2 linked regions of the Xenopus tropicalis genome follow. The protein of the gene in region 1 purifies or fractionates together with the protein of each later gene. This does not show direct contact. Links are inferred from orthologs where the notes say so. Each region holds a gene or a part of one and is shown on either strand. Other genes may lie near its edges.

Evidence for each region.
Region 2: the proteins of dapk1 (region 1) and ifi30 purify together in Homo sapiens (affinity purification with mass spectrometry; 3 studies listed by BioGRID and IntAct, counting the BioPlex papers as one, with this or other methods). This does not show direct contact. The link is inferred for Xenopus tropicalis from reciprocal best matches to the Homo sapiens genes DAPK1 and IFI30.

Annotation. Positions count from the first base shown.
Region 1 is NC_030677.2:135,328,765-135,345,242, forward strand, and holds part of dapk1 (death-associated protein kinase 1), read left to right. Parts: intron 1-1,133; coding exon 1,134-1,179; intron 1,180-2,619; coding exon 2,620-2,709; intron 2,710-5,096; coding exon 5,097-5,189; intron 5,190-9,230; coding exon 9,231-9,350; intron 9,351-10,746; coding exon 10,747-10,845; intron 10,846-11,021; coding exon 11,022-11,120; intron 11,121-12,121; coding exon 12,122-12,220; intron 12,221-12,676; coding exon 12,677-12,874; intron 12,875-13,204; coding exon 13,205-13,402; intron 13,403-16,253; coding exon 16,254-16,352; intron 16,353-16,478. UniProt on the Homo sapiens protein: Calcium/calmodulin-dependent serine/threonine kinase involved in multiple cellular signaling pathways that trigger cell survival, apoptosis, and autophagy.
Region 2 is NC_030677.2:103,916,082-103,932,611, reverse strand, and holds the end of ifi30 (gamma-interferon-inducible lysosomal thiol reductase), read left to right. Parts: intron 1-756; coding exon 757-951; intron 952-1,695; coding exon 1,696-1,770; intron 1,771-3,065; coding exon 3,066-3,161; intron 3,162-4,573; coding exon 4,574-4,726; intron 4,727-7,319; coding exon 7,320-7,388; intron 7,389-7,466; coding exon 7,467-7,538; 3' UTR 7,539-8,488; downstream 8,489-16,530. UniProt on the Homo sapiens protein: Lysosomal thiol reductase that can reduce protein disulfide bonds. May facilitate the complete unfolding of proteins destined for lysosomal degradation. Plays an important role in antigen processing.

The sequences.
Region 1 (16,478 bases):
AAACTGCAAATACCTTTCTAAGCATTTTGTACCTGCCTCTATTGATCTCCTGCACTGAACTCTAAACTTAATTAAAAAGTAGCTTTTGGCAGAGAGCACAGAAAGTTAACAAGTGACACCTGCACTTAGATACAGTTGTATAAGATAAATAGGTCTCTTGGGGGAACTGAGATTGCAGCTTAATGGGAAATTTCACCTTTTTTAGCAAAACTGTAATAACACATAAAACAAGACCCCAAAACCCCCAGAAATGTGTTCAAACTTTAAATAACCTGCCAAATTTTGTAAAATGGGAGTGGTATTTAAGTGTTGTGGTCACAAAGATGGGCGTGGTCAAAAAATGTTTGTCATGCGCATATTTTTTTGTCCCTCTTTGCATTTTTCAAATGTTGGTAGGTATGCAGTGATCTAGAACTGGCACTTGAAAGCAGGACAGTCTGCAGTGTTGCTTCAGATCCAGGGAACACTGTTTGTAAGGTATTTGCAGTGGTTGAACTCTGTGGAGATATTTTAGCATTTAAATCTCTTGCAGCCACTTGCAATGGCTGGAAAATAATTGTGTCATTTCCTTTGCCTTGCTCAGTGTTTTTTTCTGAGTTGCTCTGCTAATGAACCCTGCTAATGCTCAGTATTGTAAACATTGGGTTTCAGATAGGATCTGTTCTGAATGCATTGTTCTAAATATAGTTAGAATCTTAGCTGTAATCTGGGACAGAACTGCTTGAGAGAAAGGAAGAAACCTTAACCCTTTGTTTATTTTGTCTATATATATATATATATATATATATATATATATATATATATATATATATATATATAATATATAATATATATATATATATATATATATATATATATATATATATATATATTCAAATGTTCTCTATAAAAACATTACCGTGTCCAGACCTGGTAAAGATGCGGGTGCCAAAGGGACTAAAATCATGTGCCATAGGTTTAAAGGGAACAAATGAGACCTAAATAATAATTTGTACACCTGTTAGTGTTGTGCTGTTTGCACTGACTTCCTGTGTAACACTTAGGAAACAATGACAGTATTGTATATAGATAATAATAAATGAAACCAGTAATACACCCAATAATTAACTCAATGTTTTCATTTTCCTAAAAAGAAAAAGGATGACCATTCAAGACAGTTTGTACCACCCTTGGATTAAGGTACAGTTCTTATGTATTTTATTTGTTTAAAATAATGTGCATTTTTAGTTCTGTGGAAATCAGTGCAGTATATAGCCCAATCCAGGTTCTGTATTAAAAATACCCTCTGCTGGCTGCTACTGGCCTGTAGCTCCAGTACAGTATTAATATTTTTCTGCATGCGGTGAACTGGATTTTTTTATTTTGATAAATATTATTGATTTTTATAAAAATGGTTTTAGAGGAACATGACATTTTATATAGTGAAGTGCAAGACTAAACAGTGGGCCTGAACTAACCAAAATCTATAAAATCTACAGTGCATAAATGTAGTATTATTTTCAGTTAAAGCACAGTGACACCCCTGGTATGTGTACTTTGCCTCTCACTTTTCCACTATAAGCATTAGTGCTACCTCTGGGGTTTTTCACATCTTCTATGGTGAAATATTGAATTATTTATGCCAATTTGGCCCTCAAAGGCCCCTGGGTCTGTTTATGGACACAGAACAAACCCTCCCTGTTTCTTAATATATAACAAAACAGAATGATGCAAGCTTGTCCCAGGCTGGCTTGTCAGTTTCTTCCCAAATCTTAAAAACTTTACGTAAAGGTAAAATTATATAGCTGGTGGACTAATACTTAGTTTAGTCTAGTAATGTGGCCCTACTCTGTTATGTTAATGGAGAATGACCTACTCTTCTTCCTGAAGATCGTAGGGTGATTTGCTTTCTCCAAAAGAAAGTATATGTCCAAGTTAGTTATTTCTTTCTCATTTTGTCTTATTGCCATTTATCATCTGTTTATAGGTTTATAGTTTCATTTTATGATGTTTGTTATTAAAAGAGCCGCATTTCTCTTTTTACTCTGTGATGTAAAAGAGACCAGCATAAGGATATATGGCACTGCATAATGCACTTTTGTTAATTTTATATACTGGTATATATATTATTGTGGCTTCTTTTAAATTGCAGTGTAACTGTATTTACTCTATGGTCTGTTGCATTATTGCACCATTTTCTTCGCCAGTACGTAGGCAGTTCATAAAAAATCCACATCTTTAAAAGCTGTGTATCTAATCATGAAGGGATTTTCCAGGTGGATTTTATATTAACAAACTGGAAAATCCCTGACACTTATTTTGTTTACCTGGGCCCCTGAAGCTCCATATTAAATCATAGCTCATGGCAATAACTGCCCTAGATTCCTTTCCCAGTTGCCCCATTTGTGAACTGAGCAGTGAGAAAATAAAATTCATAAATTGCAAACCTTTCATTCCATTTAAAGTCCTCCACTGTGGTAGAGGTCTTGCTGCTTTCCTTGCAAGTATTTACAATAGTACCCACAGAATGGTATTATTTCCCTTATGAATGCAGCTTTTTTTTGTTTTGTTTTTTTTGCACCTTTGCAAAACACCCACCCCCGAGTTAATTTCTTCTAATTGTCTGTGAACTTGTTTCAGCCAAAAGATACTCAGCAAGCGCTGAGCAGGAAAGCCTCTGCAGTCAATATGGAGAAGTTTAAGAAGTTTGCTGCTCGCAGAAAATGGAAAGTAAGTGTATTCTTCGAAGTGCTCCGTAGGTAGAATGCCCATTGTTGTGAGAGTTGCTTTTATTGCAATACACAGTGGAAACAGCAGGCACCAGAAAAACATAGTTTGCTTCTGCTTTTATTTTATACAATATGATTTATTGTTTATAAATTATTTTGTATAATGTATATTTATATATAGAATACAAAGAATAACACTGCATCTGTGCACGCAACGGTAATTTAAACATAAAAGAAAAACATTAGGCTAATGTCCCATAGGGAGATTAATTGCCAGAAATAAATCTCTGCTGCAGCTGGCAACTGATCCCTCCAAAATGCCTTTTCACCAGCAACAAAGTGAATCGCCATTGGAAAGACATACGCGTAATTTCGTTCTTCCAAAGTCGTGCAAAGTTTCTTCCGGCAGGCAACTTCAGAAAATGAAGCAATGCATATGCCTTTCCATCTGTGATTCACTTTGCTGCTTGTGGAAAGGCATTTCAGAGAGACTAGTTGCCCGCGGTAGAAATTTATCACGAGTAACTTAACTCTTTGTGGGGCATTAGCCTTAACCTAAAGCTGGCCATACACGCACCGATAATATCGTACGAAACCTCGTTTCGTACGATATTCGGTGCGTGTATGGCAAGTCGACCGATATCACAGGAAGCTGCTGATATCGGTCGACTTGCCGATCGGGCCGGTTAAAGGATTTTGATCGGGCGCCATAGAAGGTGCCTGAACAAAATCTGCCTTCAGCGCTGAATTGGCAGAAGGAGGTAGAAATCCTGTTGTTTCTACCTCCTTATCTGCCGTTTCAGCCCTGAACAGTTTGTGGCTGATTGTACCATCTTTTGTGTGACCGATGGTCGCACTAAAGATTGCAAATCGCCACGTGTGTGGCCACCTTTAGATGGAACACTCTACAAACCACTATCTTTTTTTCCCTCTCAGTTAGTTACATAAAACAGTACAGGGGTGATCACTTTAAATATAGCATCTAGCTACCTAAAACCATTATTGTGGAATATAATAAAAGCCATTCTATTAAAGAATTAGCCAAATGCAAACACTTTTACCTTTGTGCAAACAGCTCTTACAGCTTGTGCATATTAGCATTTATTTCAAGGTATTGCAAAACTGCAAAGGTACTTAGCCACTTATTTGCCACTTGAGATCTAAGATTGTACATTTCATTGTTGTTTATATTGGATTGGTAATGTAGACATTTGCAACAAATAGCATAGAAATACTGGGGGTTGTATAAAAAGGCAAGGAAACCTAAAGCTCAATACTGACTTTTTTTCAGTGGCTAGGAAAACTATATATAATGCATTCGGTTTTTTCTGCTTTCCTTCCAAACAGACTGATAATGATTCCAGTAAATGTCCCTTTATTATATATATAAAGACCACTTTACAACAGCCTCACTTTAATGATGTTCCCTCCCTGCTCACTTATACACCCTAGGTATGGAGCATGCACAGTGTTCCACACCACAGGACTAAACATGCTTATTGTATTAAGCGCATAACAAAATATGTAACTTCATAAAAATTATGTGCTTTATTACATTCCCTGTTGGTCCCTTTGTGAACATAATTTTTGCTATTATGCCCATCTTTTACAGCAGGTATGACCTGGGATAAAAAACAGGCCCTGGCATTTCAAGTACACAGAGGCCCACGCTTTCCCACACCAGCCCACAAAATAGTGACTTTCTATGACATTTTACAGCAGCCCAGCAGCATTTACCAGAATCGACAGATTGCCAGTCTGGGCCTGAATCACAGCCAGAGAATGCATAGATCTATAGTGTTCTTGGTGATTGACATCTTGGCTACATCACTTCTAGAACTTCAGTCTCTACATTTTCTGGTTGGAATTCAGGGGCAGAACTATTATTTTTATACAGTGGTTCAGGAGGGCACCATGAGGAGGCGATAAAATGCAGAAAGTATGTTCCATTTCCTTGTTCTTTAGATCACAATCATAATAAAAATTATGAATGGAAATATGCAGTTTGCAGTGTTTATTTATTATTGTTATTATTTATTATTATTTATTATTGTTTAATACACAACTATCTCATTTTGACTTTAACAGCACACATTACATATTCTCTAGGGCTTGCAACTTTTTTCAAGTGAGAAGTTTTATTACATGCACCAGGCATTGGTACAAAGTGGGATTTTGCAAAGCTTGTATATTGCAAAAAGCAAATTATGTTTTCCTTGAATCTTTACCTATATATCAGGGAGTTTCTTTTTTTTTCGCCTGTTTTGTTAAAAACAGAAATAGCCATTTCTTTTGGGAAAAAAGCATTGAAGCTTTTCTTATTTGTGTTTTGTAATTGATGAGAAATGACTAGCAAAATCTATTCTGTTTTTTTTTTTTTTTTTAAAGCAATCTGTCCGTTTGATATCCCTGTGCCAAAGACTGTCAAGATCCTTCTTGTCCAGGAGCAACATGAGTATTGCTAGGAGTGATGACACACTGGTAAGTTAATAACAGCTTAGGTTCCACTGTTTGCCTACAGATTCTGCGCATTTTATAAATAACAAACTTCCTGGCTTGCTCTCTACTAAACCTGTAGGACATAAATCATATAAGGAAATAATAGCAGGGCTTTATTCAGTTAGAAAGCACCTGTTCTGCAACAGTAACACATAATAAAGCCATTATCCTTTGTAAAGGGTTGCCTTGACATTTATGGGCATTGAGTTTAGCAGAGCAAAGAGACAAATATGCAAATATGCAACCAGCAAGTTTTTAAGCAGTGTTAGCATTTATGCTGAATCCTCTTCAGTTGATCCATCTATGTAGTCTCAAATGAATTCTGCTTTAAGATGTTGATATCATTCATCTCTAGGAATTCCATTATAGGTATAAAGAAAGAAATAAGCCTGCTGCTTAGCAATACAGGAAGTGTTTCATAATTTGTTTGTATGTCACTTTAAATGCATAGAAGCATCATTTTTTTCCTTTAACTTAATTATTTTACTTAAGTGGTAGTTTGTGGTTAACTTATTATGTTAAAAAAATGTTCTGTGTTTGAGGTTAATGATGAGTTAATATGCGGCTTGATGTTTTCATACAGGTAACTTCTTATAGCAGTGTGTTATGCAGCTCTCTAGCTGTCACTGGTAGCTGGAAGTTGTAGTCGTACAGTTGGGTCAGTGCTAAATGGGCAGAATTTTATACATGTTCTACCTCAGTTTCCTATAGTTGCACAGTAATTATGGCATCACTTTATTTATATTATTTGGTGTAGCATATAAAATATACCTTGCCAGATGGCTCTTTAGGTTGCTATACATGTTTTTTCTGTAAAAAAAATGCACCAATTATACAGCAAAACAACCCTTTTTTGCTAATTGTAATGTGGGTAATGCATAGAAATGAGCAACTACTTTAAACAAAGAAGGTGCCATGAATTTACCCGGAAAGACTGTAATTAAACACACTTCGTTATTTGACCGCTTCCCTTCTGACATAAATAGCATTTTCCATGTTGCAGTACAAAGCTTCTTTGACACTGATTACATGCTGTCAAGTGCATGTAATCTCCTTCTGCAGACAGAACACAGACAATACAGAACCATGCTGGGACTGGAGAATGTTATGCCATCTGACATGTGGTCTGGCCCATAAACTGCCTCTAAGCACTGACAGGCATGAGGTTGTGGCATGGATAATGTTCTACTAAGCACTGCAGGACAGAAGCAAAATAGCAGAATGTGTGTGTTTGGCATTTATAGAGTCCTGTTTTCTCCAAGGCCGTGCACTTATATGCAGGGTTCTATGGGTATTTATTTTTATGCAAATATATAGAAGATCATTCCTAATGTGGCTGCACAAAGCAGGGAAGAGTCAGAACTTTGAAGTTTGCTAATTAAAATAGACACCTCTCTTTAATGTATATGGAATGTATTATTTTTATATGTTGTATACAGTTAGTTTCTGCCTAATTGTGGGAGGAAAAAGGAGTACCGAGATAAAACTCACTCTATGAGAACATGCAAACTCCACAAACCTAGCACCATTATCTTGATGAAACCCCACATCCAATAGCAGAAAGGCAGCAAAAAGAACCAATGTGGATGTATTAACCTTTGAATGCTGAGATACTCTGCATACTTCACATGCAAGGTTCAAGCCATTTCCGGAGAAGGTAATCACACCTTGAATGTGCTGTTGCAGTAATGGACTAGAGTGTGGCATGTGTTAAATTTACAAAGAAGAATAAATATAATTTTGAGCATCTGGCATCTGGCTCAATTTCTGGTTGGCAGGAAAATGAGCCTTTTTAAGTTGCCCGCAGATGGAGTGTGAGGAGATCAGTGTTATAGCCTTTCCATTATGAATAACAGGTAACAGCTTGCACGTGCTATGTTTTAATGCTTATTAGAAAGGAAAGCTAAATGCAAGGGGTTCCTTGATATCTGCAGTCGTCCTAAAACTTCAAGACACATACAAACCAATGGAATATTGTTTTAGGAACAACTGAAAACTGAAAATCTCACACCTTTTATAGCAGTAGCTGTCATACATTTTCGGTTTAAGTCCCCGATCCCCTTTGTTCAGGAGGCCCCGTAGCTCATAAATAGGTTACTAGGAAAGCACTGCAGTATTAGCACTTCAGTCATAGTTCCAATAATATCTGTGGCATCTGATAAGAGTTCACACCAAGGGCCACATTTACTAATCCACGAACGCGCCGAGCGTATTTTCCGAAACTTTTCCGTACCTTGCGCGACTTTTTCGTACTTTGCGAAAGTTTCGGATTCATTCAAGCTTCGTTATCGTGACTTTCCTTGGGCCAGGTTGGAGCTGCAGAGTGCCATTGATTCCTATGGGAGGCTTCCAAAATCGTGCACAGAAGGATCAAAGTCGGAAAGGTTTTCCCGCTGTTTGCAATCGTTCGGTACGAAAATTTCGGATCGCCGATACGATATTATTGTGACTATTACGTTTTTTTCGTAAGCATTTTCGTGATATTTGCAATCTTAAGAAATTATCATATCCAATCTGAATTTTTCCCATTCGGGATTCAAACTTGTGATTTCATGAATGTGCCCCCTAATCTCAGTCCTTACTGAACTTTTATTAGCTGGGATTTGAGGTGTATCTTGTAGCAAACACCATTACCCTAATTGGCCTGTGCTAAAAATCCTCAATTTCAAGTTATGTTTCGGAAACTCGAATGTCTCATATTTATTAAGTGCAAAAAACTCAAATGGAAAAAATAGCCATCTAAAAGATTGCGAGTTTCTATAGTAGTCAATGGGAATTTCATTCTAGGCAGAGTCAAGCCATATTTTCAAACTCGACTTTTTTGAGTTTGTAAACTCGAAAAATTCTAATTATTTGCGTTTTTTATTCAAATGAGTTTTCCTTATTAATAAATAAGCGAGCATTCGATATGCAAGTTTATTTGATTTTGAAAGACAAACTCGAAAATTGATAAATAAGCCCATAAAATTCTAGTGCACAAGAATAAGAGATTTATTTTATATGGTTTAAAAAGACAGTCTAACAAAATACTTTTTAACAACCCCAATATTTCCAACAATAGTTTCTTACATTGGTTTTACTTTGTTCAGAGTATAGGCAGCCCTTCACTAGTGTCTGGATTTGTGACAGTAACTGATAAGGTGCATTGTTTTCCAATTTGTCTACTACACTTGTACCTGTAATCAGCCCTTCCTCCCATATCTGTACTACAAGCACATAAAGATGGGTGCACGTTGGTCACACACCGCAAATAAAACGACAAAGACACATGAACAATATTTACAAAAAAAGAGCAAACAGAAGACTAGTGTAGAAGAATGAAGTAGTCAAAATAAAAAATGTGTTCAAACTGGAACCTATTCAAAATGTGGCCAAGTGAATTTAAGCTCGGCATTCAGTAATACAAACATGCATTTAGCTTCAGGTTAAACTGTTAAACTTTTGTGTGTTTCTAATTATTTCTTGAAAAATTTCAAAGCATAGAAACCAGAACCTAAACCGCAGCTGTGCGTCAGGCTAGCTGTTCCCACAACACTAAAAAGCAACGTCATTGTATTAAGCTTAAGTGACCAGAACAAACTGCTTTCTTTGGCTGCTTCCTTGCTGTCCCTATATAGCCTCATCTCATAGAGAAGACAGCTGAATTGTCTGGGGTGCTTCTGAATGACTTCCAGGATATGATCAGACTGACAGGAATAAAAAAAAAAAAGCACAATGGAACATTCTGACATTTGCTAAACAAAAAGGGTTACACTTGTGAAAGCAGGTGATGAAAAAATGACAGGTTTCATGAATTGATAGCTCTATAAACTCTTGGTTGAGAGGGTTTGAACATATATCTCCCAAGCACTACCACAGAGTAAATATCCTCCAACAGCATTCCTTTTAGTGAAAATGGTAGGTCATGCCTTGACACAAGTTACCTGTACCAATATGTTTTTATAAGTTCCACAAAATATACCTACAGGCTTTGTTTCTTGGAAAGTAACTGCTATTATAATGTGCCTTTTTTGTTGGTTGCAGGATGAGGAGGACTCTTTTGTAATGAAAGCCATCATTCATGCCATAAATGACGATAACGTTCCTGGTTTGCAGCATCTTTTTGGGTCTTTGTCAAACTATGATGTGAACCAGCCAAACAAGGTAATGCTGCATATGGAGCTGTAATTAGAAATGCACCGGTATGAAATATGACCAGTCCAGCTAAGTGTGGGTTAATATTGCATGCACAATTACTTCCTGTTTCTATCGCCCCTTGGTATTTGTAACACAGCAGTCAGTAACTCCTTCGTGGGTTTTATTGTCTCATTCTTTCAACTGTATTGCCCTGACACATTGAGAATCCCTCTGCGCAGCAGATCATTAACACAAGCTTGGGTTTTCCCATCTGTGCTGCTCTCAGCGGCTGACTTGCCATTTTTCACCGTACGACTCGGACAAAGAAGTGATGTGTTGGCATCCCTCACTTTCTTCCGAGCCTCAAAACTGAACAGCACGTTATTCATTTCACATAATTAATCCAGCAAGAAGCATAATAAATCACAAGTTACAAAGGTGGTGTGCAGGATTTTCTTTTCATCGTAGAGAGTTTAATTAAAATATATATCGATGATGTCATAAGCCTTTCAGTTTGGCATAAAAGCAGAGCAACAAATTTAATCAATTAACAGCTATGGATGTCAGAAACATGCAGTTCCACTTACTAGAGCAGCAGAGGTTATTCAAGCATAAATATCCCTATAGGAAAAGTCCAATATATGGAAAAAGCTTCCATATTGTGACAGGACCCAAGATATTAAGAAGCAGAGGAGACATTAGATTTCCAGGACAAATTATTTTAGTGAAAAGGAAATAATTGTAAATTCTGGATATAGGAAGTTCTCTGGTAGATTTTCTCTACTGTTTAATAGGAAATGTTTGCATAGTGGAGTATAGTTAGTATACTATACTCCCTTACAGGGAGCAATTCACTAATGTTCTGATTTTTTTATTTTTTTTTTTGAGATTGTAAAGTTGCAGAAAAAAAAGTCACAGCTTTTTAAAGATTTACTATGAGTCATATGGCTAAAAATCCAAGTCCAACAATTAAGCAGCAAAAACTTGCAGAGATCAGGTAGAATTCATTGGCAGGCATCCCTTTCCTTTCCTGATGGATCTTTCTTTGCTTTGAAACTTTAGAGGTTTTTGGATTTTTGATCCTGGTTTTTTGTGCAGCAGTACGAAAAAGTAGAGGTTTTGGCGCAACAGTTCGAAAACGTCATAGTCTGCAACTTTTTGCCGCACTGACTTTTTCAGTTCAGACATTTTAGTAAATGTCAGACATTCAAAGGAAATGAGTTTATTCAAATTTTAATATAAAAAAAAAAAAAAAACGAGAAAAGTTAGTTTTAGTAAATCTGCCCGACAGTGTGCTGTTCATCAGAAACACTACAATATAAGCAGAATATTCTTACTCTTTCTTGTTAATGAAAGGAGAATGGGAGATGATAATGAAGCCATTCATTCTGTGTATCCTTTTTATTATGTCTGTATTTTTCAGCATGGCACCCCTCCCTTGTTAATTGCTGCTGGCTGTGGGAATATTCAGATCCTTGAACTGCTCATAAAGCGTGGCGCACAGATTGATGTACAAGATAAGGTGTGTATTACCCTCTGAGTAATATTTGGGTAGAATACCATCAGCTGTTGAATAGGTTCACTTTTATGAACCAGCCAGAGACAAAGAGAAACATAAAAGTTATAACAGCTTATGTAAAAAGATTCTTTTATATGATGTAATATATCCTGTTGTTAATTGTCACTCTTTGTGTGTAGGCTGGGTCCAATGCAATTTACTGGGCTTCTCGTCATGGTCACGTTGAGACTCTGAAATTTCTACATCAGAATAACTGTCCTTTAGATATTAAAGATAAGGTAAGGTTTTGTATAGAAGGAGGGCTGCAGGGGCTATAGGTGGATAGAAGGGGTTGGATTACAAAACTAACACCTAGGTAACCCTCCCCCTCAGCTCTACCACTGGATTTAGCAGCAAGTATTCAGCTCTAGTTGGTTGTTTTTGGAGGGGTTTTTTTTTTTTTCTTCATCATATAGATACCCAAGGGCCATCCCACCTAAAGCTGCCACCCTAGTCATGGGCCTTGTGATGCCTTTATGATAATATGGCATCATGTGGCCCGTGGGCCTGTAGTTTACCACTTTTCCCTGTGTCTAATTCATGTGGACAATAGGGCAACTGTGCAGACTGACTACACTGGCGAATAACTACATGCAGTGCATGTAGCTTATCATATCTAGCATTCCCATACCATCTACAGTTTTATAACCCCAGGACTGGTAACTACTATGCCATTTTTGTAAGAATTAAATCTTTATTAACAAATCTAGTTTCTATTCTTTTTCAAGGAATTTGTGTTTAAGAGGGAGCTAGAGATATGGTTTCATTCTGTAAAATGTATTTGAATACCCAAATACTAGGTAAATATACCATCTGAAATGATAAACATGCAGTCAGTATGTTGCCCTATTTGTGGGCTGGTAATATCTAATAAATGCAGGTAATATGTGAAATACTTAGTTGCAGTTTCTAGATTTTCTCTGTGGGCACATAATTCACACAGATTTAGTTTTGCCCTACTTTTAGTGCCTTAAAGTCTATTGGGCATACCAGTTTAATGATTTACAGCAGTGCTGTCCAACTTATTACATTTTGTGGGCCAATTTTAGCTCATACGGCATGTTGGAGGGCCAGATTAAAAATAGTGATATCATATTGTGAAGTCTGTGGAGTCATATTGTGAAGACGGGGGGCCATAAAATCCTTTAGGGGGACACATCTGGTCCACAGACCATTAGTTGGACAGCCCTGATTTACAGTATGGTTCCTTTGTGCGTAAGTAACACCTATGTGCTTCTAGTCAGGAGAAACAGCACTTCACGTGGCGGCCCGTTATGGACATGCTGAAGTTATTCAATACTTGTGCAGCATTGGATCACATCCAGACATCCAGGATAAGGTATGGTGTATTGATTTGTGCTTTCTTGCTGGTTCTAAAAGCTGCTATAAAGAACATCCTATTTAGTCAAAAAGGGGGGACCTTTCTGCCAGTACTTCTGTACATTAAAAAAAATAGGTGCAGAATGTTTGTGATCAGTTGCCCCTATGATAGTAAGACTTTCAAGACCTGATTAGCTAGGTAGCAATAAAAACAGATTCAAACGCAACCTAGCAATGAGACAGTTAATCAGGGTTGCCTCTGTCTGCAATATAAGTGAAATATTGCAGGGTTCTGCAGATGGCACAGTGATTACTAAACTGGAAAGGAATTTGGAATCCCAAAAGGAATCACATGTTCCACAGATTTAGAGTACTATACATTTAAAATTCTGCTCAACATTTGGATCTAGATGACTTCTAAAAAATACTAATTACAAGAACAGTTGTGCTCTTATAAAGAATTATTGGTTTGCAGGAGGAAGAAACCCCTCTGCATTGTGCTGCTTGGCATGGTTACTACCCAGTGGCAAAAGCTCTGTGCCAGGCTGGCTGCAATGTCAACATTCGCAACAGGGAAGGGGAAACACCCATTCTGACAGCAGCAGCAAGAGGGTACCACGATATTGTGGAATGCTTGGTTGACCATGGAGGCGACCTTGATGCAACAGACAAGGTGAGCAATGGATGAATGACTCATGGCATTAGAAATGACAGACACCCTTTATGTTATTGAAATCTCTCTGCCTCCTTAAACACTGTAGCCAGTAACCTGTTATCCTTCATTGTTACTTTGCTGATATTAGTGAGATGTGAATAAAGTGCCAGCATGATTTTATCTAAATAAATAGAGGCAGAAGGAAATAATTTTACTTGCCTGTCTATCTGTCATTTACGTTATCAAAAGACTTTTATAGTCAGGAATGCTGTTAAAGGCTTCCCAGATATAGTTCCCCTATAAGAATGAATGTTGCATAAAGCTGATTGGCTTCCTCTGCCCTTGCAGGATGGGCACATAGCACTCCACCTTGCAGTGAGACGGTGTCAGATGGAAGTAGTGAAAACGCTCATCATCCATGGATGCTTTGTAGACTTCCAGGATCGCCATGGTAACACACCTCTGCATGTTGCCTGCAAAGATGGGAATCTTCCTATTGTAATGGCACTGTGTGAGGCAAGATGTAATTTGGATATAACTAACAAGGTGAGTGACAGATAATGGCACATATAAAAGGAAATATGTAATAGAATGAATGGCTGCATGAAGACAAAAGAAAATTATCTTTAAATGCGAAGAAAATTATTATTGATAATTTTCATGATGTTTTTGAACGGTCATGCTGATAACGCACTCTAAGGTGCTTATTAATCCCATCATCTATGTGCTAAATACAGCAGAGACGGAGTTATGGAGCTTAGTCTGTGCTCTGCATGTTAAATAACATTTTTCATTTCCAGAATGTAGGTAACTTAATTTTAGCTACAGTGTATGTGTCAAACTGGATTTGTGTTTTTATGGTTCCAAATATTAGTTGTAGGGACGTTAAACATTGTAGGAGTCATTTATGATTGCTTCATGTGCCAAAATTGCACCCCTTAATGCTCATGCACAAAACACTTTTATCTGGGGCAGTCGCACCGCTTTAAACATTGCACCATGTAAAAAATCCAGCACAAGTGGCTGAGTGGAGCCCTGTTGGCTGCTAGAAAGCCCTGTGCAGCAGTTTTCTTACAGCCTGTATCTTCTGGCAAATCCCAAACATTTTGGGACTTCTGGCATTATGTAATAAAACAACTAAGTTTACAGTTACAGTAATTTATAGTAGCCAATCAGTACATAGCATTTACTGTTCACTTGTGCAAAAGCAATCTTATTGGTTTCTATGGATAACTGCTACCCTAGGCAAACTTAGGGGCTATTTATTATGCTGCATAAAACAAAATGTACTGAAAAAAATGTTGTAAATAGCTGTGTTAAATAAATGGTGCATTTATCAAGGTATGTTTTATTTTACAACATTGGAACACCAGATTTGACGCAAAGACTGGCGATAACATGGTAATTTTGTTGCCTTTTTTACACCGGATAATAAATCTGCCCCTTGTGTTTTATGACATATGGGGGCTTGGCTTTTCCACAGTTCTTATTAAAAATGGCAGATGGGTTAGTGAACAGTTTTTTTCATGTCACAGACTGCCATGCTAAACCCACTTTGTGCTTATTATGCTGATATTACTTATCAGAATGACATATTAATTATTTTCATTTTAATTGGTTATTCCTCTCTCCAGCTGAATTTATACTGAGTGGGTATCAGTCACAGTTGCTCATATAGCCACAGAGAATTATAAAACTAATGAGCTGGTCTGATGGGGTTATTTCCCCTAAATGCCCTTCACAGGCAAGTGTCATTTTGCAGGCCCACCAATTACAGAAGGCCTGCCTTTAAACCAATTTATTTTACATATTACATCAATATGATGAGGCCAGACACAGATTGCTGTAAACACAGACCAGTGACAATGCTTAGGCTTCTCAGTAGACTAAAGGACAAAGGAACCGGTGTCCACACATTAGGGACATAGCAGAATGACAACAGCTCATGACCAGGTGGTAAGAGTGATTCTAAATGAGCGTGTAATAATTGGGTTTTAAATTATTATATTGATACCATAGAATAAAAACAGAGAAGTTCTAATTCTGTTTAACAGGTATACTCTTTGCGCTACGGTCACACATGAAACGCATCCTTTGCACATGTACTAATAAATAACTGTTAACTTTCCCAAGGTTGCACTTGTAACAGAACATCTTTGTTTTAAAGTTTCATTTCCCCAGTAAAATATCCTAAGTGTCCCAGCACCTGGATTTCTGCTAGGCTGGTTTTCCCTGCTGCTTTTATTGGAACAGCAGGTGTCTGAGGTTTACAACTAAGACCAAGCACTATCGCCACAATCTCCTTCCTGTTCACTATTTATATGGAAACCAGCCTCATAAACTCTCTCTCCATTTTTCTTTACACATACCTACAATTTCAGTGCTGCCACAATAAAAACTGACATACTGACTGTCCTAGTAAGTTAGCAGCAGAAATATGTATATTTCAGTAACCAATTAGTGACTTGAGGGGGGGAGCATATTTTGCTGTTCAGTCAGTTTGCATTTGAATCTGAACTGCTTGCTCACAAACTGAACAGTTATGTCCCATGTGCCCCCCCCCCCCCCCCCCCAAATTCACTGACTAACTAAGAGGTTAGAGAGCTGAGAGTAGGAAGTAGAGTTCTGGCTATTATGTTAGACATCTGCTCATTCCAGCCTTTAGAGATCACATTTTTGCCTTACTAACTATATTAGAAATATTATCTATTTTGTGCAGTCTATCTATTTTACCCAGTTTCATTTTTATACTGAACTGTTCCTGTAAAAGTCTTGATAAGGGTTCCAGTGACAAAATACATGGAACTGAAGCAGTAATGTATGATGGTCTCTAATGATGTGCCACTTAAGGTGGTGGGTCTTAGAAACTATTTTATGGGTTTAAAGGAATACCATTGGCAGTGCCACAACCATGTGACCTGTGCTCTGATAAACTTTAGTCAGTCTTTACTGCTGAGCTGTAAGTTTGAGTAATATCTTCCCCCTCCCTTCCCCCCCAGCAGCCGATCAGCAGAACAATTGGAAGGTAGCAAGATAGCAGCTCCCAATAGATATCAGAATAGCACTCAATAGTAAGAAATCCAAGTCCGGCTTGGGACTCCTCCAGTTACATGGGAGTAGGAGAAACAATAGGTTACCTGAAAGCAGTTCTAATGTGTAGCGCTGGCTCCTTCTAAAAGCTCACACTCAGGCACAATGCACTGACATGGCTGCCTGCACACCAATATTACAACTAAAAAAATACATTTCTTGGTTCAGGAATAAAATGTTAAATGGTAGAGGGAATTGGCTATGTAAACAGTGTAATTTAGAAATAAATCAATGCATCAATTTATTTTATATATTGTATGTATGTATAAGTGCATATATATATATATAGTTTTGCTTGCCTTTGCAGTATGGCCGAACACCTTTACATCTGGCAGCAAACAATGGTATAGTGGAAGTTGTCCGATACCTCTGCGTCGCTGGTGCAAATGTTGAAGCCTTGACTTTGGTAAGTTTAGTGCTTTTCAAGTTAAAGAATTATTTTCTTTTTCAATATTGTGGTATTCCTTTGTGTGGTTTTATCTTTCAGGGTGAAAAGTCTGTCTACACAGGTCATAGGTTCTGTGCTTTTCTC
Region 2 (16,530 bases), about 31 Mb from region 1:
AATCTTTTGTTTAGTAAAAATTACAGGCAAGGAGCTATAATAGAAAATCTCTTATATGGGAATGCTTCAACGGTATTATCCATAATTACTAACATGCCTATGTTCTGCATTTGTATCATTTAGTTAAGAATTTACATATGAGCTGTTTTATGCAATACATTTTTATAGAGACCAATATTGTTTGTGGGTATAGTTTTCCTTTAATGAACCATGCAGCCAAGGTTCACAAACTGCCAATTAAGTAGTATGGGTTACAGTACTAGTGCAAAATTTCCCCCTGTTTGGTAATAACTCTGAGCAACATTTACTTAAGTGATGCAGTTACCTACTGCATACATTCAAACATTTTCTTTGTTTAATTCTAACAGTAAAACAGTCAGAGTTAACTGCCGATTGGTTGCAGGGATTAAGGCAATGGCAATTGCTGATTGGCTGCTGGGATAAGGCAGTGGCAAATTGGCTCCATGTTTTCAACACATTCACAAGTCCTTCTATGAGTCTACCTCTTTTAACTGCTCTTCTGCTCTACCCGCCTTGATATTTTTAACAAAACCACTATGTGCCACAATTGTGGCTAAAGACCCTTAAAAACTGCACAATCAAATATTAATGAAACACCGCTTGAGCTGTTATTTGGTGCTGTGGCATTTGCCGTTTTCTTTTTCAGACCTTGAATTGAAGGCTATTGCTGTATATTCATTGCCAGCATTAAGTACTTTTTCTTACATAACATAAATATTTTTATTATTTTACCAGGTGGAAAAACAATGCTTGGAATTCTACTCTAATCGTGATTTGAAGAAGTCTTCTGAACCAGCTATTCAGATAGATTTATTCTATGAAAGTCTCTGTGGAGGTTGTAGAGGTTTCCTTGTCCGGCAACTTTTTCCATCGTGGCTGATGCTCGCTGAAATAATCAATGTGACATTAGTTCCTTATGGGAATGCACAGGTAGGCTTTGATAGGTTATTTTAACATGAATGGGGCAACAATCCCATTTATTGCTAAACAACAAAGCAAGAGTGATTAAAAGATCTAAAACAAAAAAGGCAGCAATTTATGAGGACATGTGGGGTTTAAAAAAAAGCCTGGGAAGAAAGACTTACCATTTAAAGCGGACCTGTCACCTTAAAAAATAATTTCAAATTGTTTTCTATTGTGTTTGTCAAGCAAAATAAACTTTACTTACACTATTTAAATTATTTTAATCTTATTTTCTTCAGCCTTGGAATTCACAATTGCAGCAAGCAGGCAGGGGCCATTTTGTGGACACTGTTATCAAAGCAGGCATTGCATCCTGCCAAAATCTTGTTTCTGTGCCAGTATGGGGGGGGGGCTGATGCCCATGTCCATGCACTGGTTACACAATTACATGGTGCGAAAGGAGGGGGAATGTGAGGAGTGCAGTAACATCTAAGAAGTTCTGAATTGAAAGTGAAAGTAACAGTCTGCCCCACCTCTATGCCTAAGGCATAGAGGCGGGGCAGGCAGTATATGATTGACAGCTGGGATTTTAAAATGCTTTTATAATGGGTATGGATGTGGTAATAAAAAAAATGATTTTGGGTTTCATATTTAATTTGAAAAGGGCTTTTATTATACAGCTTTTTATGTCTGGGTGACAGGTCCACTTTAATATATCTGAGGTCGAACAAATTTCAGCTTATACATAATTTGAACATTTTTATTTAATAGGAAACAAACATCACTGGTAAATGGGTTTTTGATTGCCAACATGGACCTGAGGAATGTCTGGGAAACATGATGGAGGTTTGAGACCATTCTTACATTTATTTGTGTGATGTGTAATGGATATGTGTGTAATTTGCTGTTGGTTATAAATACAGTTTGAAAGCTAATATATGTCTATAAAGATATCAGAATGGCCGAAAAGAACCACACACCATATAGATAATACTCTATTTATTACCCCACAATTCATATAAAATTAATTTGGATCACACATAAAATTAATTTGGATCACATCCTTAAGATCAATATTTCAACACCAAAGATTTCATTAACGATTTTAACTAATTCACCTATAGGGTGAATTCATACATTTTCAGTTCTTAGTTTTATTTCCTCCTTTCACTTCCTCTATCTGTAAAAATATCCACAAGACTATGGAGAGTGAAAATGTCAGATTACTTTGAATAAAAATAAAACTTCTTCATACACATAATAAATCACCATCACCCAAGTGACTTATATGACATACAGTTCTGATATAATGCCAATAAAAGAGATAGGAGAGAGGTAATCCACAGTCACTAGGACAGCTGAAACATAACACTGAAAAAGGACACCTTTTTACCTATCACAAACTTTGCTCTTAGAAGGGTGAGGGGAATGCCCCATACTATACACTCGCCTAACATAACACAGGCTATAGAGACTTCCACCTCAATAGGATTGTTTCAACTCTGCCAGTGACTGTGGATTACCTCTCTCTTTTATTGGCATTATATCAGAACTGTATGCCATATAAGTCACTTGTAGGGGGTAATTTGATGTTTTCACTCTCCATAGTCTTGTGGATAGTTTTATAGATGAAGATGTGGGGTTCTTTTCAGCCATTCTGATATCTTTGTAATTTTGTTATCCCCCAAAGGACCTGTGGGGATTGGTGGCTGTTTATCACCCTTAGCTATAACAACTCAAGTTATTATATGTCTGTGTTCAATGTTAAAAGGGAGCATAAAGGTAGAGCTCATGGAAGGGAAAGAGTGGTGTGCTGGCATTTCATGGTAAGACTAGGATGCTGTACCAGATCCACTTGGACCTGCCACCAGGTCCGAACTGGAGATTTAAAACAGGCCCTAGTATTTAAAGTACATAGAGGGCCAAACAGCCCCCCACAGGACCAATAGTAAGTGTGTATGGCATCTTACAACAGCCCCTCTGACATTTGCCAGAATGTACAGTTTTGTCAGTCTGGGCCTGCAGCCACCCCTCTACCTGCTACCTACCTGATCCCAACCTAAACTGCATGCTGTAGGTACCCAACTCTTTTTAGAACTGCAAAAACTCCAACAATCTAACAATTTTTTATTGATGCACAGGCCTGTCTTATCCATATTCTTGATGATATATACAAATATTTTCCAATCATTTTTTGCATGGAGTCTTCCAACAACATCACAAAATCTTTGGAATCCGTAAGTATTAAATGCATTTACTAAGACATTTGGCATAATGCAAACAGTTTATATGTGCTTTGCGTCTGAAACATTAGGTGTTATTCATAGCTATCTAAGAAGTGTGCAAAGTGCAAAAAATGGGTGCAATGCTCTGTGATTCACTGTTTTCCCACCTTGCAGAATCTCTGTAGGACCTGCATCTGCATGAAGAATATCATTGCTATCATTATAAGAGGGGGAGGCACATAAGTGCTTGTTAGATGAGCACAAAGGGAATCCTTATTGCACCCCTTAGTGCTTTTTGAAAAACATTATAAATGCCTTCAGGGCATACTTAATAATTGTTGCATGATTTATAAGAAAACAGTGATAGGGAAGGTAGTAAATGAAATTGGCAGAACTGTTGCTATTATAAAATCCACAAAGTTGTAATTTGTTTTTTATTTACAAATTGTTTTTGTGCTTTTGCCCTCTGCTAGCTCAGCCATGCTGTTTGTCAGTAATGAATTGAAAATTTCCTTTCCTTTTTTAAATCAGTCAGTTACAATAGGTCAATTTAATTATTACATAAATAATGTAAATGTAATTATTTACATTTTATAATGTACTTTATTTTTATAAATATTATTACATGATAAAATATAATACAGCTCACCATAATACAAAATTAGTGAGAGATCTCAGCTTGTTTCACTGCAATTAAATGGGCCAAGGTTCAGCACAGACAGACCGGTTCAGCACAGCCCTTGGCCCTGCACGGCCCCGTGGTTGGGAACTCCTGGATTAAGGAACTTACATGATAAACAACTGTGAAGAAGAAAAATAGTAAATTATATATGAAAGATTATTAAATATCCACTAGAGTTTTTTTTAATTTTGTCATAGTTGGGGTGCTTAAAAATTAATTTATCTATTAATCTATGCAGTCTATTCAGGTATTATGTATATTTTTAGTGCTACAAATGAAAGTGAAGTGAAGGATAAACAAACATGCACAATATTCAGTGCAACCTTGCAAACTAATGTACACATGAAGTGTGAGGTACATGATTTTTAATAATTTTATATTTTTATTACATAATATATAATAATTAAATATATATATATATATATATATTAATAAAACAATAATATAATCTATTTATACACTGAAAAATACTGGACTGTATCCTCTGTTGAGATTTTCAACCAATGACGGCATATCCTAGACTAGATACTAAAACCTGCTTGATCTGGAGTGGCTAGCCTTCCCCACGTTCCAAGGTTATTTCAGTGAAGCACTATAAAACTATATACATTGTAGGTCTACACAAAGAAAATTATTTATATGTGTATTCTGATTAGAAGAGACCAGTAATTCCCTGGAAGCAGATATCCAGTTTGTTAAACTGCATGCATTTTAATTTAATTTTAATTTCCTCTTCTTGCAGTGCCTTGCAGTTTATGCACCTGAGTTACCACTTAAAACTGTATTGGAGTGTGTAAATGGGGATTTGGGGAACAAGCTTATGCACGAAAATGCTCAAAAAACCAAAGGACTCAGTCCTCCTCACAATTATGTGCCCTGGATTGTCATTGATGGGGTAAGTGATAACTTCCATACATAATCGAGGTGGCTGTGCTGTTAAGATATGCATATATTTTTTTAAAATACTGTACAGGTTTCTTGCTTTTCCACAAGTCATATACTGACATTGATACTTTATTTCTAGATTAAAATGGACATATTTGGACGTAATAGTCAAGTTGTCAATTATTTTGTTGTAAGCACAGTGAATTTTGTTAAGAAAAATTATTGCTGGCAGTTGAAACCATGTGTGGAGCCCGCTCATTATTAACACGCCTAACCAAGCATTTTGGAATATAATGAGTGAACTGGTCACAACTGTCCATTTGCTATTTATTCTGGTAATTATATAGCTTTTGTTCTCCAGCAGAGGAGATCCACACCATCAAACAGAAGCACAGCACTCCCTTTATATACTCACATTTCAGGTTAGACAGAGTTCAGACTAGCAGCAACAATAATGTTTCGGAATCATCCACTCCTTTTTTCAAGCCGTAAATAATATATCATTTCTCCCACAGTTTTTCCTGCATTGTGCAACAGCATACAAGGAAGTGTGTCACAAAAAAACCTGTTTGTGCTTACCTATCCGTGTTTCCATATCACATCATATACCAAATAGATTTGGAAGAGCAAATGAAAGCTATAAATTGTACCTTTGCCGATGATAATGTTGTAGTGCCCTGATCACATAAAAAGGACTGTACATTATACATCCTGTCGGTGATGGCACAGTACATGTCGGTTCATTAAAAGAAGCATGTCCAATTTGTTTTTTGAGCAACTTTTAAGAAACTGGTGTTATAAGAAACTGAACTAGGAAATCCTAGCAGTTTAATAATTTTCCCCACTTGGTTTTTAAAGGGGTTGTTCACCTTCAAAATAACTTTTAGTGTGATGTAGTGAGTGCTATGCTGAGACAATTTACAATTGGTCTTAAGCACTCGCAGAAACGCTGAACTGACTTCCTGTCAAAAGATTTGTTGTGTCTGTTTTCCTCTGCCAGAGACAGATAGCTCTCTCCTCTCTCCCCTCTCCCCTCTCCTGCTTCCCCCTCCCTCAAGAATGCTAAGAACTCACTTCCCCCCCTTAGGAATGTGGATCTGAGCCAATCAGCAGGAAGCTTCCGCAAAATCTTACAAACTGAGCATGTACATCGGTCTGGGTCTCTGTGCAGAAGTGAGGCATTATGGGAACTTTCTTTAAACAGCTCAGTGTTTTTTCTTCCTGTTTGGCTTCTGAACAGGTGAAATATGGAGAGACTTAAGGGCACTATTGAGAGAACTGAAGGTATGCCTGCAGCTTGAGAGCAACTCTTTATTAGACTTTCCTTCTCCTTTAAGCAATCGGGCAGTAGTTTGAAAGAGAGACCAGAATATGAATAGAGGAAGGGCTAAATAGAAGGAAAAGTAACAATAAAATTGCAGCCTTGCTTGGCTGCTGGGGTCACTGCCCAAGTTGTTAAGAATAGGCCTAACACACTAAAGGTAAACCTGAAGGTGGAATCAATACATTCACCAAAGTTGGTAAAGATATCTGTTACTCAGATTGTGTTCAGGTGCTTTGAGCAGTTTTTATGGGGTGTTAGGGCTCAGCAGCAGCAATGAGCACTAAAATCTGTCTGCACCATTAATCTGTTATGCAATGAAAATGCAGAGAGAAAAGACTGACAATTCAGTCCCTCTCCTATTCATATTTCAGTCTCATTTAAACCATTGCCTGGTTGCTAAGGTGAACAAGACCCTAGCAACCAGATAGCTGCTAAAATTCCAAACTGGAGAGCTGCTGGACAAAAAACTAAATAACCGAAAAATGAAAATCATTTGCAAATTGTCTCAGAATATCCATGTCTACATCATACTAAAAACTAATTTAAAGGTGAACAATTCCTTAAATAATGCTTTGGGATTTTCCACTCTGGAAAATATATAATTAAATACAAAAGTATAGGTAATGATTTACCAAGTCTTAGCTAACTACTGATAAATTGGTCACTGTGTGTAATGTATTTGTAATATTCTGTTTTGTTCAAATAATTTCTGAAAGAAGTATCGTGCATTTCAGTTAAAGTTGGCAATGGCAGTTATTTACATTATGTGAATCCATTCAAACATTTCTTTGTAGATAGAAGAAAAGTTTTATGCGGGGACAGCTAGCACAGGGGCTTCCCTGACTGAAAAAATACATTTTGCTATGGCCTTTTATGATGATAATATTGGTGGTGTTATGAACTCAAAATATATTTACTGTAATGTAATGGGCTGATGAATCACACATGTTGGATCTTGAGAAGTCTTTTCTGTCCCCATACACACCAAAACACTTCCTGATTGGTGCTGGCAATAAATCACATAAGTGGCCCCTACACAAAATTACACATTTCTTGAGATAAGCTCTTTATTTTTTTTTAAATTGCTTTATCCCTCCACTGGGCTCTCTCCATTCCATCCAATCCCAGTAATTGCTGCAGATGATCATGTAGGCAGCATGTCCTGTAAGCAACTGCTACTTTCAACCATTCAAAGGGCTGGGAATTTGGAATTATACTGGTGGTAAGGCTCAAGCACAAATATGTGATCATAAATTAATAATAGTTTTTTCCTTATTAGATGCACACTGATGATCTTCAAGCACAAGCTCAAAGTTCTCTCTTTAACCTTGTTTGTGACACATACAAAGTAAGTAAATACCATTATTCTGAGCTAGCACTTTAAGTTGTGAAGGCTTCTAAACATTTCTTTTCCTTTCCTTAACAGGGACCAAAGCCAGAACCCTGCTTGCACAGTGAAATAACACCATTAAAAAGGGATGTTCTCTGCCTAAACTGAATTACTCCTGAATTGCTCCTACAGAAAACTATTCCAACACCAGGGCAAATGTACTTTTCAGACTAACCGTGTGTTTTTGTTTTCCCTTTTTTCTTTTTCTTTTCCCAATTCCTTATGTACTTTCAACAGTATAACTATATTTTGGGTTTGCACCTTGCATTTCACTAGAGGCCTTTCTTCATACAGGGTTGCAGGGTGAGACCTTTTAATGGTGTATGTTCCCTGACATGACAATGCCCAAACTGTGACTGAATGGCTACGTACTACTAATTCACATCTGCTTAAATGTGTTTTAGTGTAATGGAATACCTAGTTGACATTGTTGTGGTTTGACCTGTACACATTATGGGCAGACTTGGGTGCTTTCTGCTGATACTATTTGGGTACCAGCTGTTTTTATCTAGACCTATCCCCAGTTTCATCAACCACAAACACCTGCACAGTATGCCACAACCCCAGTGCCAACTTCTTGTAATTTATTTCCAACACTACAGATTTATGCAAGATAAAGAAAGTTGTGTTAGCAATTAGGAAAACAAATTGATCTACCTCAGTCTTTCCTGAAGGCGGAGACGACTTGATCAGTTTTGTAGGCTTTACACAAACAAACTAACTGGGAAATTATTGAGGCCAAAGTGTCTAAAGCATAGAAAATAAACTTTCCAAGTTCACTGCTTTTCAGTGACCGGAAGAGGCGGTATCCATAACTAGTCAACAGTAAAATTAGGCTGCAGCCTTCTTAGAAGCTGTCACTCTAGATAACCAATGGGAGAAAATCAGGTTATTGAAAAGTAAAGAAACATTCATCATATTTATAGATTTTTCTAATTACACATGGTTTTCAGTGAAAGGAAAATGGAGAAATGAAATTAAGATGCATTTAAATTCTTTACTGCTTACCGTATGGTTACTCATTAATAATAGGTGTATTAAAGGAATAGTAAATCTAAGTTTCAGTCTGTTTTTTTTTTTGTTTTTTTTTTTAAATAAACCATAAAACAGCACCTTTTTACACCCCATCTGGTAAAAAAAAATTTTGGTTTGTTGTTTGGTGCACCCCAATAGAACTGAGCCTTAATTTTAATAATCATGAATGATAAAATTAAATTACTTGTAAGCAGAATTTACATTTATGAAATCTAGGTGGCTGACAACTAAAATAATGTTGGATTGTACAAATATTACAGAAGGACTTATAAGCTTTGCTCGTTTGGCCAGATCACCAAACAAGCGCATCTTTGCTCGTTTGGCCAGATCACCAAACGAGCGCATCTTTGCTCGATATGCAAAGAGCAAAACGATTGAATTTAACAATGGAGATATGAGCTGTCGGAGCAAGGGCCGAATCAATGAGCCAATGCAATTTCCAATCCAAATAAAAAATCAAACCTGCCTGATTGACACCTAGCCAGTTTTTGGTCTGGTATCGGTAGGGCAGATAAGCTACCAAATCGGTGTAAAGGACTAGAATCTGCAGCTCAGCCATACCACTACTAACACCACCCATCTTTCCACAACTGTTCCACTCATCAAAGGTGTGTGCTTCTAATCCCTCCTTACTGCACTCTTATTTTGTTTGGCAATCATGGCTTCTAAGTCCCCCCTTTCACTATCGACACTACATTTTGTGGTACCCGCCCTCTGTGTGGGATTGCCATTTAATCTGCTATGCAATTTTGCCACCCACCACCATCTTGCTTTAAAGCCTGCTCTTACCCCTATTATTTACCCACACTACCATTATTCATGCTTCTCAGTTCCCTCAGTCCCTCACATTTTGTCCATCCGCTGTCATTTTTATCAACTCTCCACAATTATGTCTGTTTGCCAACCTTTCTCCTAGCCTCAGCATTTATTCACTAACTCTTCTGGGCATGGGGCCCCAAAAGGTTATTTGAGGGTTGGCCTACTGTATGCTTGCAGCTGCAAGTAACTCAACGAGCATGCAACAACAGAGGGTGATTTGCGCTGCTCTAACCCCCCTTTGGGCGGGGGAGAACAAAGGCCCACAAATACTGTGCTGCTGGTTTTCATAGAGATAAGAGCACTGCACATGATCTCTAATGATATATAAGGCACACAGAAATTTCTACATCAGTTACTGTGAAGCAGAAAACAAAGGCGCATGCATTTGGGGCACCCCCCCCCCCACTTTCCTCAGTACTAGTGCTCTAATTCACATGTTTCAGTAGGTTTTCAACCTATGACCATTATTACTAGAGGCTTAATCATATGAGCCTGTTTTTGTATCCTGCAGCTGCTATTATTTATGCAGTGTTTTCATTCTAGCACTCCTCAGTGGGCACTTTGACAACCAAGGTCTTTGACAGTGGCATTACTATAGAGGAGAGGTGGTCTTGGGTGACCCCTGATTTTGCATAGAAACTCTATTTATGTTTGATTTAAATCCTGGGGATGGTCTCCCTCTTTACATAACTGCCTACATGTGCATTTATTAATTTCGTCCAAAAATGTGGCTCTCTTTCTGTTGCTTGATAGCCTAGTACTTGGTTGGGTGGTTGCCTTATGTAAGCAAGGTCTGCAATGGGATGAGATGCCAACATGACAACTTTTATTCTTGAAGTGCTTACCAGAGAGTGTAGTGTATTCAATGTATTTCCAATCAGTTTAAATAGAGTACCTTTATTAAAGCACACGCAGCAATGTGGACACAAGCAGCAATGTTTCAAGCCATATAGGCTTTTTATTAGTGATGAGCAAATCTGACCCACTTCCCTTCACTGACAAATTTGTAAAACAGCAATATTTTGCAAAACACATTGAAGTCAACTGACCACTTTTTTTTCTGCAGCCATTGGAGGCTACAGGGTTTTTTTCACAGCAAAACCTGGCAAAAAATGTTGCTTATCGTTACTCTTAATCGAGTTTAAAAGTCAAGCATGTAAATATTTTAATCAAGAGTGACACCTACTGGTTCCAAACATACATTTTTCCCATGATTTCAACATTTATTTCTACAATTAGTAATACTTATCTCCAGGGCCAGAAGTCGTGGTAGTCAAGGTGCCTAGGGTGCCTTGAGGGGGGTGCAATTTGGGGGGGAAAGCAAATTTCCTACTGCTTACTCTGCAGTGAGAGATGGGAAAATTGTCACAAGTGGTTGGGGGGGATTCTGCACCTCTGGCTACCCTGAAGCAGGCTTTCTGATACCATTCCCGATGCCTGCCATTTGGAACTTTCGGCATGGGTCGTGGGGGTTGTGCAATTGTGCTCTCTGAACTAGAAGAGCCAAAATTCTTATTTTAGATGAGAGCTCTCTTTCCCAAAATAGCACATATTTGTGCTTAGGGTATGCCCTAGAGTTCCTGAGAGTAAATATTTTATATTAGAACCCATATAGGGAGCCCAGTTATACAGTATTTTGAAAAGGGTTAATAATTTGGGTGAAGCTAGCTTTGTAAAAGTGTTCTTGATAAAATGGGAGATTTGGATATATTCATAATTCCAGCTTTGAGGAACATATTTTTTTGGAGTTCAGTAAAGGTGTGTTGATTATTAGTTCATGGGTTGACAAAATCATACATTCGAAAAAGGTTTTTTGGAGACAAGCCTGGGGGATTTGGGGATCATCTAGAACTGACCGTAATATACAGGAGGGGAATATCAAGGGTGTATTGGGCCACCTGTTCCTGGTCAAAGTATGTGGCTTGTCTCCACTTTCATAGTACTTCCATCTGAGTCAACATCAGGCTTTTTCATTGTCTTCCCAAAGCGTTTTATGGTCTCTGTGAAATAGTGACCTATAAATGTATGCCGCAAGGTTAAATGAGGCCATCCACAGCCTACCTGGGAAGCGTCCAGGAGGCTTCTGGAGCATTCAGACATAGGTGGAGAACTAGAATCAGTAGTCACAAAGCACCCAAGTCACCGGGATAAACCATGTATAAAGTCATGGGTTCAGATGCATAATAAAGGCAATACTGGTCATAGGGATTCATGTTTGTGAGGTTGGAGATAAAGTTGTTTTGGACGGTGAGCCTCCGAGATGTCTACGTATCTTAATGTCTAGAATCGCTGGTCAATGGATCTTGTGTGTGATTTGATGGTGGAATCCCAAGGTCTTTGAGAAATTGAAGGCTGTCGTCTAGATACGGAAGTATGTACTGCTTGTTTCCTTTTGTAGCAATTAGTTTGAAGGGGAAACCCCATCGGTATGCTGTATAGTGAAAGTGTAATGTCTTGGTAACAGGTCACTCCTCTTTTTCAGTGTGATAGGAGAGATATTATTAAATATCTGAAGTTTATGGCCTTGGTGTTCAATGTGGGGGGTATTGCAAGTTTTATTAGAAATACACTTCTTGCTTTTATAGTAATGTAGACACACCACAACATCTCTAAGTTTAGCAGAGCCAGGTATCAGAGGTGCAAGTGCTCTAGATGCATGATCAAACCGCCAGGCCTCAGATGAGAGATCTGGATTGATGGTAGAGAAAAGAGAGTACAAAAATAGTCTCATATTATGGGGGGCAACTTCCTCTGGTTTGCCCTTAATTCTTTTTCGTTTTGGTACTATGACCTATTCTCCATTTCCTCTGGATAAGTCATGAGACATGCTACTTCCTCCTGTAGGCTAAAATTACTGTCTTCCAGTATATTATGCCTCAAGATACGATCATCTAATGGAGTCTCTAATTTATAAGTTCATTCTCCCATTGCATTGATGATGGCGCTTATATATTTAAGGGCTGTGCAGATAGAATCAGTCATATTCTCTGTTAGCTTGTCATGTACTGTACTGATAGGCTGATGGCCCACAGAGAGCGTTAGTCACCTGCAATAATTAGTCACCGGCAAAAAAAACACTCCGAAATGACTTTCTACCAGCAACAATACCAATCACTGGTGAAAAGGCCTACGCATTGCTTTGGCTTTCTGAAGTTGCACAAAGTTGCCTGCAGGATCTGCTAAAGAGGGGTGATAAACTTCCTCCTGAGACATGCAGTTCCACCATATGAACCTAGATGCATGAGAGAAAGAGGCCTGTGAGCTAGATTGGCTCTCCGCTTTAGATTTATTGGTGCCATCTTGGATTCCCTGTTGTGAGGCGGCAGGAGAGAGAGAAACAGAGAGAGAGAGAAACAGAGATATTGCGACTACTATATTCTTGTGCTTCCCCATGGATGTTCCATGGATGTAATTACACTCAGTACACTAGATGAAGCAAATGACGGGGGTAAATGTCTGTATAAGTGCGTCTGCTGTACTCCATGCTGTGCATGCACTGCACTATTCTCTTAAACCTATATAGCTGTGATTGTGACATAGCTTTTCTATGTCTGTATCTGTATTGCATTAAAAGTATCATAATAAAGTATAGTATTTCTGTCTCCTTAATGTACAAATTTATATTCAGGGGACTGTGAGGGTCATTTTCAAACCTTCAGCTTGCTTTTCTTTCAGTAGCTCATGGTGGATATTAATGTATGTTTCATGTTGGCATCTCTGCTTTTCTGATATCCACCATGTGTGCCTACATCCAGACCAACATGATGGTTGCAGTGCAGGCAAGGCTGATGCCAACATAGAGACTGATTCTCGGCCCATATTTTTCTGCAGGCTGAGAATCAGCCCAATGTAGCATCAGGCTTAGAGAGATGTAGTGAGCAGGCTGCTTATCTTTTGGAAATGCTCCCCCTGCCAAAGCACAACAGGTCAGAGAATCTTTTTTTTTTTTTTTTTCAGGCAGGTTTGGGTAGAATTAGCCTTCCAAAGTCCTAATAAAAATCTACCCATGAAAACAGGGTTTCTGCCTGGCTGTTATTTCGCTGGCCTTGAAGGTAAAATACCAGCCATGGCTGAGGCTGGTATTACAAATTTACTGGCTATGAATTTTCTGATAAATTTGCAATTGTTTGTCATTCTGTCCACCCCCAACCCCTGCCTTTAAGTTGTCCCTCTCAACTTCTGCCCCATTATCTGTCAGCCCAACTCACCACATTTCTGCTTCATTGCGCCCAATCCATCTGGCACCACCCTGTAATTTTTCCTCCCCTTTTGCATTATAACCCTGCCCTCACTCTCCTACCCTTCACGCCAAAACAACTGCCAAGTATTTTACTGTAGAAAACTCTTAAAATATATATATATATATATATTTTTTTTTAATCTATAACTGTGTGTGTTAGTAATGAAGGCCAAGTTTGTTATTTCTGACAAGTTCTGTGCTAACGCCTTGTGACAACTGACGGTGCAGAACTTGGGGTAGACAGTCACGTCAATCTTGGGGTATCCTGCTCGATTTTCCACATTGGAAAAACCGGGCAGGCAGTTTTGACCCAGACAGCCCTATAATAAACTGGGCTGTCCAGACAGGTGGCGACCGTAGATGCATGGAATACTGGAATCAGTTTGGGATTCAGAATTACAGCCTTTTTCTTCAGGATTTGGATTTCATCAAATCCCAGGGCCTGACCTGGGGTATCCAGACCCTTAAAACCATGTGACTTTGAATAGAACCAGATAACACCTACAGAGCTGTCAACTCCCCCTATTACATTGGGATTTAGCTGTTTTTACCTCCCCCTGTTCTCCAATCACCAAACTGAATTCCCCCAGGTTTTTACAGGTTCTGCACTGATTCAGCAGGAGCGATTGCGCATGACCAATGAGTGTGACAGCCCTGCGCCTAGCATTTTGGAAAAATAGTTGTAGTTCAGTGACAGCTGGAGGCTCACATGTTGACACAGTATGCTACAAATTCTGATACTCCATGCTGTACTGTAAAATCTGATCAGTTTCTTGTTTTAATGTAGCACCATTCCTCACACATTATATTCCACTAAAAAACAATCAGATGTCATAAGACTTTATCTTGTCCTAAGAAAAGGCAACATGCAGCATTTGGGGAAAGCTGCTCCTCCACTAACTATCATACGCAGAAAGATTCTGAGCCAGTTTGACAGCTTGAAGCTGAGAGCAGAAAGAAATGGGGCGGGACTTTGACTGCTATTGCTGAGTTCCCCTGTCACTCACAGTTATTACAACTTCCTGTGGACGAAAGAAAGGACATGCTCGGCTCAGCCCTTGTTTCAGCCTGAGTACAGAGGATATGTCTGCTGCTCTGATGCAATTACAGTTTTAAAAAGGTAAAATGTGATTTCAACAATCTGTTTTCCCAGTCACTATACTTGTAAAGGAAGGGGACATATTGGGATTAGGGTAATACAGTATTTCTCTTAAAGAAGTCATGCTTTTCCCCATACATGTGACAGCAGCAACCAGCAAATCATGCGCTGTGTCATGTGTTGTTTGTCTGAGAAAGGGTAATCATAGGGGAAATGTTATTTTGGGTAACAACATAATGTATCTGCAAATGATGTAACTGCAAATGATCACAGTATGTACATGTATGTAGTTCCTGCAGAATGGATATATATATATATATATATATATATATATGTATGGGACCTGTTATCCAGCATGCTTGGGACCTGGGGTTTTCCTGATAATGGATCTTTCTGTAATTTGGATCTCCAAAGCGTCCAAAGTCTGCTAAAAATCATTCAAATATTGAATAAACCCAATAGGCTTGTTTTGCCTCCAATAAGGATTAATTATATCTTAGTTGGGATCAAGTACAAGGTACTGTTTTATTATTAGAGAGAAAAAATAAATAATTTTTAAAAATTAGAATTATTTGCTTATAATGGAGTCTATGGGAGATGGTCTTTCGGAACTATCTATATAACAGGTTTCCGGATAAGGGATCCCATACCTGTATATATAATATGCTTGTGGCATACGGTCTTCTCTGTATTAAAAAGACAGCAGTGTTCAGCCTGAAACAACCTTTGGCAGTTTAGGGTGTTTTGTCACACGCTGTGTGAAGGCAAAGTACTTTTATGTGATAATATCCTTATTTTTTTTTACCATAAGAATATGTTTTAAAGCTTGCTGGAAGGGGTACAAGTTAGGGAAGTGGAGTGGGTCACCATGCTATACAGTGAAAATGTAGTAGACCAGTGGCCTATGTGTTGTAACTTATTGGTTGGTCTGTTGAAAGTGGATAGATACCAAGATCAACACAAATCTGGTCATTCAGCATCACAATGTAGCACGAAAAGATAATTTTCCCACACAAGACCTAAAGAAAATTAGAGAAACCAATGCTGATAGCCATAGCAGGAAGGGTAGGCACAAAGCACAGGTATGAACAGACTTCTGTTTCAGAGGTGCCAGTACATAGACAGTATTGATGGCAGATTGCATCATGCCTAATCTGTCTGGAGTAATCAAGCTTTAATTGTCCCATGTATGACCACCTTAACAGATATAAGTATACAGTACATTTCATTGTTTATTTAAAGCTTTTATGTGTTCAATGTGTTCAAATGTAGAATTAAAAGTCAAGTAAAGCCCATAATGAATATAGCTTATATTTTAGCCTTTTAGTGTAAAACTGTTGTGCCACTTTTCATGGAAAAGCCCTGTGCCTGTAAGGGTAATGCCACAATAATAATAGAGATTAATATTAGTGGTACATAAGTTAAAGGACATGTTCACCCAAAAAATAACTTTTGCCTAGTAAAATAAATTATAACTCTAAGCAACTTTGCAATGTAATGGTTTTTAAGTTATTTTTAAATTGTTGCTATTAAGAGCAGTGTTTGTCAGTCCTTCTCTGTTCTTTGCCCTGGTGTGCTTTCTTTTGATACAATGTAACACAAGCCAGTAGACTGACAGACCTGTCTTGCTGCAGTAGACTGGCTTTTGCAACATTGTTTAAGAAGTCATAACCAGAAGTTAAGCAAATTCTGCTTTTAAAGCACTAAAATTTTGTAATATATTCATATTGGAAAGTTGCTTAGAATTATGTTTTCTCTTATTAGGCAAACATTTTTTGGGGGGTTGACATGTCCATTTAAAGGAAGAGTAAACATGATATTTTCTAAAGTGTGTTTAACACCCTTGACTTTATTTCTTTATCTAGGGTAACTCTGAAACTTGCTGTCCTAAATCCATGTGTAGCTGC